Linked DNA regions of Rattus norvegicus. The protein of the gene in region 1 purifies or fractionates together with the protein of each later gene. This does not show direct contact. Links are inferred from orthologs where the notes say so. Each region holds a gene or a part of one and is shown in the gene's direction. Other genes may lie near its edges. The genes, in order: Ranbp2, Bicd2 and Nxf1.

Region 1 (3,645 bases):
TGTTCCACTTAGTTGATTTTAAAGGTTTACCAGTGTGTCTAAATCATTTATAATGTTATAGCTTCTGACTTTCTATTTTAGGGCAGCAGTCTTAATTCTTTTTATGATCAACGGGAATACATAGGCAGAAGTGTTCATTATTGGAGGAAAGTCTTACCATTGTTGAAGATGATCAGAAAGAAGAATAGTATTCCTGAACCTATTGATCCTCTGTTTAAACATTTCCATAGTGTGGATATTCAGGTAAGAATGAGCTAATGAACTGACGCATGTGTAACTTATCATATACAGACAATAACTAAGCAAAGTGTACTGCTATTTTATGGTAGCATTGCTTTCTCAATCTTGTAGCTGACAAAAATTTTGACTAATGAACTGTTAATTTTCTTCAGATAAAATAAATCTTTGGAAATTTGGGGTTCAAGCAATTTAACTAACAGTTACTAAATAAATGTATTTAGGTATCTGAAATTGGCGAATATGAAGAAGATGCACACATAACTTTTGCTATATTGGATGCTGTTAACGGAAACATAGAAGATGCCATGACTGCTTTTGAATCTATTAAAAATGTAGTTTCTTATTGGAATCTTGCACTGGTAAGTGATGTGACAATTGAATTGAGTTTTGTTTGTTTGCTTGCTTTGAAAATGTTAATTGTATTTTGTGTAGATTTTTCACAGGAAAGCAGAAGATATTGAAAATGATGCCTTGTCTCCTGAAGAACAAGAAGAGTGCAAAAATTATCTGAGAAAGACTAGGGACTACCTGATAAAGATTTTAGATGATAGTGATTCAAATATTTCCGTGGTTCAGAAAGTAAGTTGCTGGTTTGTCTGACATTTAGTATTGTTGATAATTGCCCAGGTTTTGTATTTTGTCCTTTCTTAAGTCTCTAAGTTTCCCTTATGATAGATGATCAGGGCATGTGCATGAATGCTTAGTTTTCTTTTATCTTAGGTTTGGTATATCTTGAAACAACAACAAAAATTCGACAGTTTCGGGGTTGGGGATTTAGCTCAGTGATAGAGCAAGACCCTGGGTTCGGTCCCCAGCTCCGGGGGAAAAAAAATCGGCAGTTTCACACTCATAGTGGTTTTCTTCCTTCTAAGTTTTTTTTATTAATTAACATGTATTGCTGATCTTAGCTTAGGATTTATATTGTCCGGTGTATTTCAGCATCTGTATTTCACTCTGTTCAAAGTATCTTAGAAGAATGTATAACTTCTATACGGAAAAACTTCTTTCCTAAGTTCACTTTCCTTTTTACTATGACTTACAGATAAAATAGTAACAACTTAGACTTTAGATTCTGCAATACTTTTATATGTATAATTTAACATGTAATAAGATGCTTGTTAAAATGGGCTGTGGTACACACATGTAGTATTCACACTTGGAAGACTGAGTCAGGACTGAGAAGTCAAGGGAACCCTAGGCTACAAAGTGAGATTCTGACTCAAAATAAGAAAAATATGAACAGCTTAATAAAACTGATTCTTTATTTCTAAGGCATTTTAACATTTTTTTGTAAACTAATGGATTTTTTTTTTCAGTTGCCTGTCCCCCTTGAGTCTGTAAAAGAGATGCTGAACTCAGTTATGCAGGAACTTGAAGACTACAGTGAAGGAGGTACTCTTTATAAAAATGGTTGCTTTCGAAGTGCTGATTCAGAGTTAAAGCATTCAACACCATCTCCTACCAAATATTCTCTATCACCAAGTAAAAGTTACAAGGCAAGTAGGAAAGAAATGAATCATTGTACAATGACGTTGTTTTCTACACATTGTAAACACTGTTAATATATTTGTGTGTATGTTTGTATATTTAGTATTCGCCAAAAACACCACCTCGATGGGCAGAAGATCAAAATTCTTTATTGAAAATGATCTGCCAGCAAGTAGAGGCCATTAAGGTAACATTTAGTTTGGCTCAATGTAACTCTTATGCTAAGATTTTTTTTCTCTAATCAGTTTGAGACAGTATGTAACCCTGTCTGCCCTGGAATTCAGTCTGTTGACGGCTGGCCTCTGCCTCTGGAGTGCTGGGATTAAAGGCCTTCACCACCACACTTGGCTTCAAGCTTGCTTGGGTTCTCCCTCCCCCTTCCCTCCTTTCCCCTTCCCTTCTCCTTCTCCCCTCCCCATCCCTTTCCCCTCCCCCCCCTCCCCCCCTCTGGATTATTTTTTACTTTCTTAGTTGATCAACATGTGCTCTTTAGTATAGTTTATAGAATCAATTTCTTTTGACTCTTAACTATATTTTCTAAGTTACTTAGAAGTCTATCGCCACATGAGATAAGAGTTTTTTAAGATAAAACCTTTTTCCTAAAAACATAATTTGATTCCTGTTATCTCTCCATGAGTAACTTGTATGTACTATCGTTACCATTTTGTGTTAATTTGTCAGCATGTATGTTATTAAAGTGTGTCAAATTTATCACTGGGCATTGAACAGTTGAGTTGAATTTTTTTTTCTTGTTTAGATGCTTTTTATATGAGTGGCTTAATTATAGTGTAGTATTTACTGGTTTCTTATTTTAGAATTACACAAATCTTTTTTCATGCCTTTTGGCTAAGAACTAAATTATTCCTACACCTAATGTTACACTAAGTACATTTTGCTATGTGGTGATTATTATGGTATGTATAATCAACAGCTTTGTTGATTTGCTCAGCTTTGAAAACTGGTTAAATAACAAAATTTTGAATTTGTACAAATACATTTTTTGTTACATAAGCCATGTAACACATTAGAGTTCCTTTCAGTGTACAAGTTTCAGTTGTTCAGCATTATTCTGTGGAAATGTAATGGGAACTTTGTCTGTGAGCCTGGAAAACTGGTTGCTACCAGAACTCGAGTCTAGTTATTGTTCTTGGAAAATTTGATTTCTTACTTTAGTATTTTGTAAAGCTTTAGAATTGATGAAACCAGTTGTTATTATATACTTTTTAATGTGTATGTGCAGGTAGATACATGTGGAGGCCACAGATGTTAATTAATAGAAGACCTTGGTTGTCTTCTATTAATTTCCACCTTGTTTTATTCTCATTGAATGTGCAGTTCACCAGTTGGCTAGATTGACTGACCAGTGAGCTCTGGGGAATTCTCTCTCTCCACCTTGTAATGCTATGGTTTTTGGCACACACCAGCAAGCTCTTATGTGGGCACTGAAGTCTGAATGCAGATCTTTGTGCTAGTTTAGCAGGTGCTTTACAGAGGGTCATCTCCCCAGTCTCCCTAGTTCTTTTACCATTAACAGTTAGGATTATATCGTATATCAGATTTAGAGCTAGGGGCCATCATTTCTTCTAGTTTTTTATTCGTGGATATGCAGTGTCTAGGCAGAGGAGTAGGTAGATGAGTGGAGATTATTTTTAAGTTAAAATTGAGGTAAGGAAATATTTGAAACACTTGTATTTATTTGTTTTGTGTTTGAGACATTGTTTATAGTAATGGAAAGCTTGAAATTTATGACCCTTTTCTTGCCTTACTTTCCCTCCTACTGGGACTGTATATGCGAGCCACCACTCCAAATGCAGCATTTGTAGATCAAGAAAGCAAATACATTAGGTTTTTTTCTGATCTCATTTGTTATAATTTGGTTGGATGCTGTTTTCAAAAATTTGAAGCTGTTTTAAAAAT
Region 2 (4,427 bases), on another chromosome or scaffold:
GTCCTTGTTGGAGCAAGGTTTGTTCCAAAACATCCTCCCTCACTTAGTGTGAAGAGCTTTGTGGGCCTGATATATGGGCCTCAGTGTAGAGCCAGGACTCTCCTAGCAAATTAAGCTGGTTGGCTCAAGAGAAAAGGTAACAACACGTGTATTTATACAACTCTCTCTTGTTTTTGAGACAGGGTCTCTCTATTTAGTCCTGGCTGGCTTGGAACTTCATATATAGATCAGGCTGGCCTTGAAATCCTTCTACCTTTGTCTCCCAAGTGGTGGGATTAAAGGTGTGCTCCACCACACAAAGTTTATTTACTACACAATTCTTGTGTTGGCCCTAGATTTTCTTTTAATCGTGTGTGTGCGTGTGTGTGTATGGTGAAGTGGGTTCATATTCCTGTGGGTACACACAGGCCCCACGTGCACTGGGAATCAGAGGGCCAGATCTAGTTGTCAGTCTTTGTCTTGCATCTTGTTTGAGGCCGGTTATCTTAGTTCCCCACCCCCACCCCCAACTTCATGCACTAGTCTAACTTCAGGGGATTCTCCAATCTCCACCTCCCATCTTGCCTTGGGAACATTGGGATTATAGACTGTGCTTTATGTGGGCTCTGGGGGTGCAAATATAGGTCCTTGCTCTTGCTGAGCAAGAGCTTTATCCTCTGAGCCTTCTCTCCAGCTGACCTCTATGTTTTATGGTGGTCCGCAGCTGTAGGGTGTGGTGTTGCGGGGGCGGAGGGTGTGCAGTGAGAAGAGGAATAAGCTTGTTATATCCAAATCACCATGCGAGGAGGGAACTTTTATTTAGACATACAGTGAAGAGTACAGCCATGTCCCGCCGAAAATCGGGGACAGACAACATTTAAACACACCTATGACATTATGCTCACGGAGGTGCTTTCATTTCTATGAAAGAATATCCTAACGGACAAAGGGACAAGAGGAAGGAAGTAGTATCCGGGTTTGGGCTCCGCTGAGCCCCTAGCGTCAGGTTGTTGGCATCCTTTTGGCAGTGCCCGCGGCCCGCCACAAGTCATTCAAATCCCGCATAGAGCGCGCGCCACACAGTCTCACCAACCAGGCTCTGACGTTGTAGGACGCGAATCTTATTCGTAGTCTCCACAGCTCAGATCGCCTTACTCTAGAAAGGATAGGAGCACAAGGCTGGAGGTTCTCCGGGTGGCTGCGGGGTCCTTGGGCTGGGGTCGGTGGCACCCTTACTGCTGTCACGTCAGCGGCGCCGGCCAATCACCGATTGAAGCCAGGCAGGCGCGGCACACAACAGGCCAAGCAGTGAGCGCACAGTAGGACTACATCTCCCACAATGCTAAGGGAGACGTAGCTTTGCGTCTCTTTAGGCTCATGCCCCCTTGAGATTTAGACCAATCACAGCCTCAGACCAGGTGGGCGCAAGGGACTGCGGGTTATGTAGTCCATGCTCAGTGGGACTGCAGCCCCCAGTGTTCCCCGCGCGTCAGGGAGGAGCAGTGCGGCGGCGCGGGCGGCCGTCGGGGCTGGGCGGCGGCGGCGGCGGCTAAGAGGGCCCGGCTTGTGGGAGCCAAGGTGGGAGCGGGCCTCGGCGCGCGGCCACCATGTCCGCGCCGTCGGAGGAGGAGGAGTATGCGCGTCTGGTGATGGAGGCGCAGCCGGAGTGGCTGCGCGCCGAGGTGAAGCGACTGTCCCACGAGCTGGCCGAAACCACGCGTGAGAAGATCCAGGCGGCCGAGTATGGACTGGCGGTGCTTGAGGAGAAGCACCAGCTCAAGCTGCAGTTCGAGGAGCTCGAGGTGGACTATGAGGCCATCCGCAGCGAGATGGAGCAGCTCAAAGAGGTAGTGGCCGGCTGCGACCCCTGCCTGGGGCTCTGAGGTCATCCTGCCCAGTGGTGGGAGGTACCAGGGGTGGGGCAGAAGACCTAGAGTTGTGGTCCAAGGCAGTGACGGAGAGTGACCATGCTCGGCCCCGTGCCCTGCTGCTGGGGTCTAGGCTCCCTGCAGCTCCACGTACCCGCTAGTTTTCTCTGCAGGCCTTAATAGTCCTTTCGTTGAGGACTGATGTCCTGCTATGGTTATTGCTGCCTTGGGTGTGTCTGTGTAGGCGGCGGGGGAGCAGACGATGCCCTTACAGCTGAGGCTGTCCGTGAAAGTGACCCCCTTGGTAAGGCTGAGCCTGGGGCTGGTTGACCACAGTCTGTCATCTTCAAGCAAATCACTGCCCCCCTTTTTGGAGCAGCTGCTTTCTGTGCTGTTCATCTGGTTTCATGACTGCCTGAGGCTGGGAAGGGATGGATACAGTGAGTCGCAGCTCCTGATTGCCCATGACCCTTGACAGGCCGGCTTTCCCAGTATCCATCGCATCAGTGTGACTTAGCTCTGGCTCAGTCAGCTGCTTCCCCCCCCCCCCCCCCAATCTCATTAATGGTGCACCCACTACTGGGAAGCATGGCTTCCATCGACCGCTTCCTGTCTTGCTCGGTCTCCTAGGCCCTGCCTGTCGCCCTGGAGTCTGCGTTCCTTCTGTCGGAACCTGGTGCTTTGTGTCATCCCACTGTAGGGAGAGAGGTTGGACCCCCCAGGCTGGCTAAGAGCTTGAGGGGGGGGGGGATGCAGTAGGAGGGACCTGGGTAAGCTTTCTGGGATGATTTAAGTGTTAGTGACTCTCCCATCCGTCTTGACTCCCCAGCCGTGTTCTGGAGACTGTCGGGGAAATGCTTTCTGGAAGAGGGACACACTTGAGTTTGGACCAACCCCCCCTTATTGCTTATGGGTGAGCTATGGGTGAGCCATGGGCAAGCTCTCCTCAAACCTTAGCTTCCAGCTCTGCAAAGTAGGAATACAGCTTTGCCAACCCACAAGTATTGCTCTGAGTGCTCTGCATTTAGAAAGGCCTGATGTGGGCCACACAGGTAGCTTTTTGGATTATCTAAATGGTTTCCCTTCCCTGTCAGACTCAGTTCTGCTCTCGGGTGTTAAAATCACAGGCTCATCTTTGGATACTTCTGCTCCCAGCCAGCTTTGGGTGGGTGCCTGAACTCTTTAGAGCCTCTCTTCTTTTCTGGGGGGGAATGAATCCCTAAAGTCTGGGTAGAACAGGGCTGGGTGAGTCCCAGAAGTGGCTGCTTCTGTGGGAAGGTAGGAATTGAGTCTTCCCACAGAATCTCAAGTCTGTTGTCTGTCAGAGGACATCAGTTACTTTCCCAAGCCTGGCTCCATCCGCAGTGGGTTGACAAAAGGAGGGGGATGGGCAGCCCCCCCTGGAGGGGGAGGGGACAGTCAAGGTGATAGATGAAGGTCAGGACTGTGAAAATATGGAGTGGGTGTATCCTCTTCCCAAATCTAGTCTTCTGTCTGGGGCTTCCCTTCCCCCCTCCTTAGTGCTCCAGGCAGGTAGCTGCACCCTTTAATTACAGTACCACTCCCACTGCACATACATATGGGTTGCCTTCCCACTTCCTGTGGAATGCCTGTGAACCTCTCCTGGGAAGCCCACTCTCCTCCTCTGAATTAGCAGGTTTCTTTCAGGGGCATGTGCTGTGAAAACTGGCTGTTGGTGATCTAGTCGGTCCTCACTTGGGTGACTTCTGTTGGTCAGCCTCCTGCAATTGTTTTATGGGCAGAATCATTTTATGACTCAGTGAAGAACAATGGTGGCATACATGTGGCCTTCTCTGTATCTGGAGGGAAACCTCTGAGAAGATGAGGAAGAGGGTGCGATCTATTCTCTAGGTGCCCTTTAGGTATCTGCTTAGTCTAATGCCAGTCCCACACTGTATAGGCTTGGACAGGCTGCTCCTCTCCCATTTGTGAGGTGGGATAAGGTTTCTTCCAGAAGTTTCTGGTGGAGTCCAGAGGAATGCATCAGCTTCAGAGAGTGTTGCCAAAAGTTTGTGCCAATCTGCCTCTTGTCAGCAGATTGTTCCTCACACCCATGCCAAAGCAGGCTCTGGTCAAACTCTTTAATCTTGGTCAGTATTGTATTTGAAATACTAACTTCTACTTTAAAAAAAAAAATGAAGATTTAAGGAGACAGCGTATATAGGAAGTTTTCTCCCCATAGAGAGGTGAACTGTCTTAAGTTGTTTGCTCCTTTAAATGTGGTAGATTTAGTTACTAACAAGTTAAGTTATGCTGTCGTCGAGTTGCTTGTGTGCTTGCCCGAGTTTAGTCATGCAAGCCTTTGAGGTGAGGAAGCCGTCTGACCTGGGTGAAAGGGTTTACAACCAGATCCCAGGAGAGCTTGTGCTGGTGAGCCAACTGAGCGTTGACCCCGCTGTCTTTATTTCTGGGAGAATGGCTATGTCTTGCTTACAACCATGGCCCGGGTGTTGACTGAGGCTAGAAGTGGAGAGGAGGCCTCATAGCCTGTTTTGCTGATATTGTGTGTCTAACTCAGTAAGGGCCACATCTGTCCCAAGTCTTTCTGCGCCTCTTCTG
Region 3 (3,839 bases), on another chromosome or scaffold:
AAGATTAAAGATACCAGTAAGTTTATTGTGTGTGCAGTCAAAATGGGAATCAGTAGAGCTAGCCAGTGTGGATGTGCCCTAACCGTGGTTTCCCTTCCTTCTGCTTGTAGCCACGCGGTTCCGGCTATTAAAGCATACACGTCTTAATGTCGTTGCCTTCCTCAATGAGTTACCTAAAACTCACCATGACGTTAACTCCTTTGTGGTAGATATAAGTGCCCAAACAGTAAGTACATATGTTTTCCTAATGAAGCTCAGAAGTGGGGTCATGAGTTCAGCATTCACTGGGTAAGGAGGCTCAGGCTCCGGGTTGGGAACCTCCATTACTTCGGGTGCTTTTTCTCTTTCAGAGCACATTGTTGTGTTTTTCTGTCAATGGAGTCTTCAAGGAAGGTAAGAATTTTGAGTTCTGAACCTTTCTCAGTATCTTTAGTTTCCTAGCTGACTTCTCATCCCTTTTCTTCTCCGACCTCTGTCCTATTTTGCCCAGTACATCTTGGTTTGGCCTTAAAACTCTTCCACCTGTCTTACCTGCAGTATGACAAAAACCTGGGGACCCAAACAGTGTAAGCGTAAGAGTCAGGCAGGTCTCCATTTCTTTTTTTTTTTTTTTAAAGAATTATTTATTTTATGTATATGAGTACACTGTAGCTGTCTTCAGAGGGCATCAGATCCCATTATAGTCGATAGCCACCATGTGGTTGCTGGGAATTGAACTCAGAACCTCTGGAAGAGTAGTCAGTGCTCTTAACTGCTGAGCCATCTCCCCAGCCCAGGTCTCCATTTCTGTCCCTGTGTTAATGCTGTGGGTCTGGGAAAGTTGCAATACCTTTGAATCTTGTTCTTTTTTCTGTTTTGTTAGATGATTTCATAATACTTTTGCACAGTGGTACTTCAGGAATGATTTCAGGCACTTTGCCAAGCTAGGCTAACACTTTTAAATTGTTTTACTTCCTATAGCACACAGCAAATTCTGTTATTATCTGATCTGTCCCTTTATCCCACCTCTGTTTCCTTATGACCAAATAACCCTCCTTACCTGACCAAGTTAGGAGTCTCTGTGTCAGACACCGTGGTGTGAGTGATAATTGTAAGATCAAGCCTGAATGGCTTAAGGAGCCATTGCCACACTTCTCTCATTGCAGTGGACGGGAAGTCTCGAGATTCTTTACGTGCTTTCACGAGAACGTTCATTGCTGTTCCTGCCAGCAATTCAGGGTAAGTACTCAGCTTATCAGTTTGGGTATTATTTTCAGTCCCAGGGTAGCAGTGTGATAGCTGGAAGGTAGAGATATTCCTTAGGTAGTTTTCAGAATTGCAGAAAAGCAATAGAAGTTTATGAAGTGAATAGCAACTCTTGGTGTGTTAGGGAATGAAAGGGAACATGGGAGGGAGGGGCATGTGGATGTTAACCAGATCTGAGAACAAAGACAGTGTAGAAAGATGAGGTCATTTGTCCGTTTATTTAAGATTTTTTTTGTCCCCAAGGCTATGTATTGTAAATGACGAATTATTTGTGCGGAACGCCAGCCCTGAAGAAATCCAAAGAGCCTTCGCCATGCCTGCACCCACACCTTCTTCCAGCCCAGTACCCACACTCTCCCAAGAACAGCAGGATATGTTACAAGCATTTTCTACCCAGTCTGGCATGAACCTCGAGTGGTCTCAGAAGTGAGTGTTGAGCATGGATAGGACCAAGGGGAAACAGATAGCCTGACAGTGAATTAGAGTGCTTTAATAAAAAGATTCCTACTAAGAATTCTGCATAAATTATTTTTTAAAATTTAAAGCGCAAATGAAGAATTCGTTTTCTGTCCCCCTCCCAGCTACCTATGGCCTCCCTCTTCCCCAAGCAGAATTACAGATTAAAGCTGACTTCACAAATGCAGTAGTCACTCTACCACCAAGCTCTTTTCAGGTGGTTGTTTTGAAACAGGGTCTCACTATGCACAGAGCTCTGCTTGCTTCTCCCTCCAAAGTGTTGTGATTAAAGGCATGAGCCAAGTTTTTATTTATTTATTGTTTGTTTTGTTGTCCATTTTTAAACAGGAACTCACTAAGTTCACTAAACCTGGGCTTCAACTCTTTACCCAGTCCTAAATTCCAGTGGGCCTCAGCACTCCAGGGAGCTAGGGCTGTAGGTACAGCACATGCCTAGTTCCGAGTCTTTATGTATGGTTCTGCACCTTTTGTTTTGAGACAGGGTCTCACTTTGTGCCTTGGCTGCTTGGAAGCCACTGTGTAGCCCAGGTTTGCCTCAGCCTCACCGAGTTCCCCAGCTGCTTCAGCCTCTCCAGTGATAGGATTGAAGGCCTGAGCTGCCTTGCCCAGCTGGAATGTAGTTTTTAAACTGTATAGCTCTTTCCCTACCAGTGTAAACTACATTGGTCATTTATGGTAGACATTTTGACCATTTAACATTTGTACAAGTGGTGCGATGGTGTGTGAACTTAATGAAAACATTGGTGACGTTCTCCACGGGTTGGATTCTGGGGTGACATTCAGTGGTCAGTGACTGACTGCATTTTGGTTCTCATGTGGCTTCCTATTTTAATCATACTGCAGGTGCCTTCAAGACAATAACTGGGACTACACCAGATCTGCCCAGGCCTTCACTCATCTCAAGGTAAAGTATAGGAATTTTGTGGTTAAAAACGGATCTCTGCGCCTTTAAAAAGGGTCAGATGAAGGCTGGGCGTGGTGATGGTTGCCTTTAATCGGCATTTGGGAGGCAGATCTCTGGGTTTGAGGCTAGCCTGGTCTACATAGAGAGTGCCAGGACAGCCGGTGAGTCACAGGAGCTGAGCAGGGAAGGTGGGAGAGAGGTCACCTGGCTCTACTTATATTTTATCTTTCTGCAGGCCAAGGGAGAGATTCCAGAAGTAGCGTTTATGAAATGATCTCAAGAAAAGTCCCCTTGTAAATAGCCCTTGGATAATATTGTCTGGCTGTCATCTGCGGACTCCTGTCCAGCCCGAGGCCACCCTGTAACTGTGACTGGGGAGGAAGGGCTGCTTCATCCTCCTCACCTACCTTCTGGAAGACTTAGAGAAGACTTCCGGAAGATTGAGCCTCATGGTGCCAGGAAGCCAAAGCTTACTTTGTAGAGCTGACACTAAATTACCGAAGGACTTAGGTGCTCTGTGTACTTAACCCCAGGATTCCCTTTACTTTTTAAGATAAAGAGTGATATTGTAGTGTGTGTCCCATTACTGGCTTGTTTCCCTCAATGTGGGAGGGGTGGGAAGGTGCGTCGTTATAGGAAGTCCCGCCCCGGAGACGGAAGTGCTCCGCCATGGCGGCGACTCTGCTGCCACGGTCGGTTAGCCAGCTTTTGTCTATGCTGCGGTCCGGAAATGTGCACCGGTCTTTGCAAAGCGGAGTCCCACGGGATGTGCTGCTTTTCGAGCACGAACGTAGCCGCTTCTTTGCCATCCTTGGACTGTTTTGTGCGGGTCAGAGCATCTTCTGGACTTCCCTGGCTGTTGCAGCCTTGCCCAAACCTCTGATTCGAGTACCCGCGGAGGCTCCCAACCGGGGCTCCCTGGACCTGCGCTCCGCACTCTGGCGATACGGGTTAGCTGTTGGTTGCGGCATGATGGGTAAGCACATTGCTGTGGGGCTGTGTGCACAACGCTCACTCAGCAAAAAGGGGTTTCCAAAAAAGTAGGTGGGACACCCGGTATGGGTGTGGTGTAACAGTCTCTGAATGCCTTGCACCCCCACTCTGCAAACCGCAGGCCAAGGTCTGCCCCTCACACTGGCCATGAGCAGGCTTTTGAGGCCACAGATGCATTTTCTCCCCTTAACAGTATAAAAAATGTCGATAGGTTGGTGAC

What was found.
Region 2: the proteins of Ranbp2 (region 1) and Bicd2 purify together in Homo sapiens (affinity purification with western blotting; 3 studies listed by BioGRID and IntAct, with this or other methods). This does not show direct contact. The link is inferred for Rattus norvegicus from reciprocal best matches to the Homo sapiens genes RANBP2 and BICD2.
Region 3: the proteins of Ranbp2 (region 1) and Nxf1 purify together in Homo sapiens (co-immunoprecipitation; 5 studies listed by BioGRID and IntAct, with this or other methods). This does not show direct contact. The link is inferred for Rattus norvegicus from reciprocal best matches to the Homo sapiens genes RANBP2 and NXF1.

What each region holds. Positions count from the first base shown.
Region 1 is NC_086038.1:27,005,716-27,009,360, forward strand, and holds part of Ranbp2 (E3 SUMO-protein ligase RanBP2), read left to right. Parts: intron 1-81; coding exon 82-243; intron 244-461; coding exon 462-599; intron 600-672; coding exon 673-819; intron 820-1,556; coding exon 1,557-1,736; intron 1,737-1,831; coding exon 1,832-1,915; intron 1,916-3,645. UniProt on the Homo sapiens protein: E3 SUMO-protein ligase which facilitates SUMO1 and SUMO2 conjugation by UBE2I. Involved in transport factor (Ran-GTP, karyopherin)-mediated protein import via the F-G repeat-containing domain which acts as a docking site for substrates.
Region 2 is NC_086035.1:15,508,375-15,512,801, reverse strand, and holds the start of Bicd2 (protein bicaudal D homolog 2), read left to right. Parts: upstream 1-1,496; 5' UTR 1,497-1,586; coding exon 1,587-1,826; intron 1,827-4,427. UniProt on the Homo sapiens protein: Acts as an adapter protein linking the dynein motor complex to various cargos and converts dynein from a non-processive to a highly processive motor in the presence of dynactin.
Region 3 is NC_086019.1:215,094,548-215,098,386, forward strand, and holds the end of Nxf1 (nuclear RNA export factor 1), read left to right. Parts: coding exon 1-16; intron 17-110; coding exon 111-226; intron 227-350; coding exon 351-393; intron 394-1,145; coding exon 1,146-1,218; intron 1,219-1,488; coding exon 1,489-1,671; intron 1,672-2,565; coding exon 2,566-2,626; intron 2,627-2,861; coding exon 2,862-2,900; 3' UTR 2,901-3,209; downstream 3,210-3,839. Other genes in the region: Tmem223 (transmembrane protein 223), read left to right, coding at 3,296-3,602.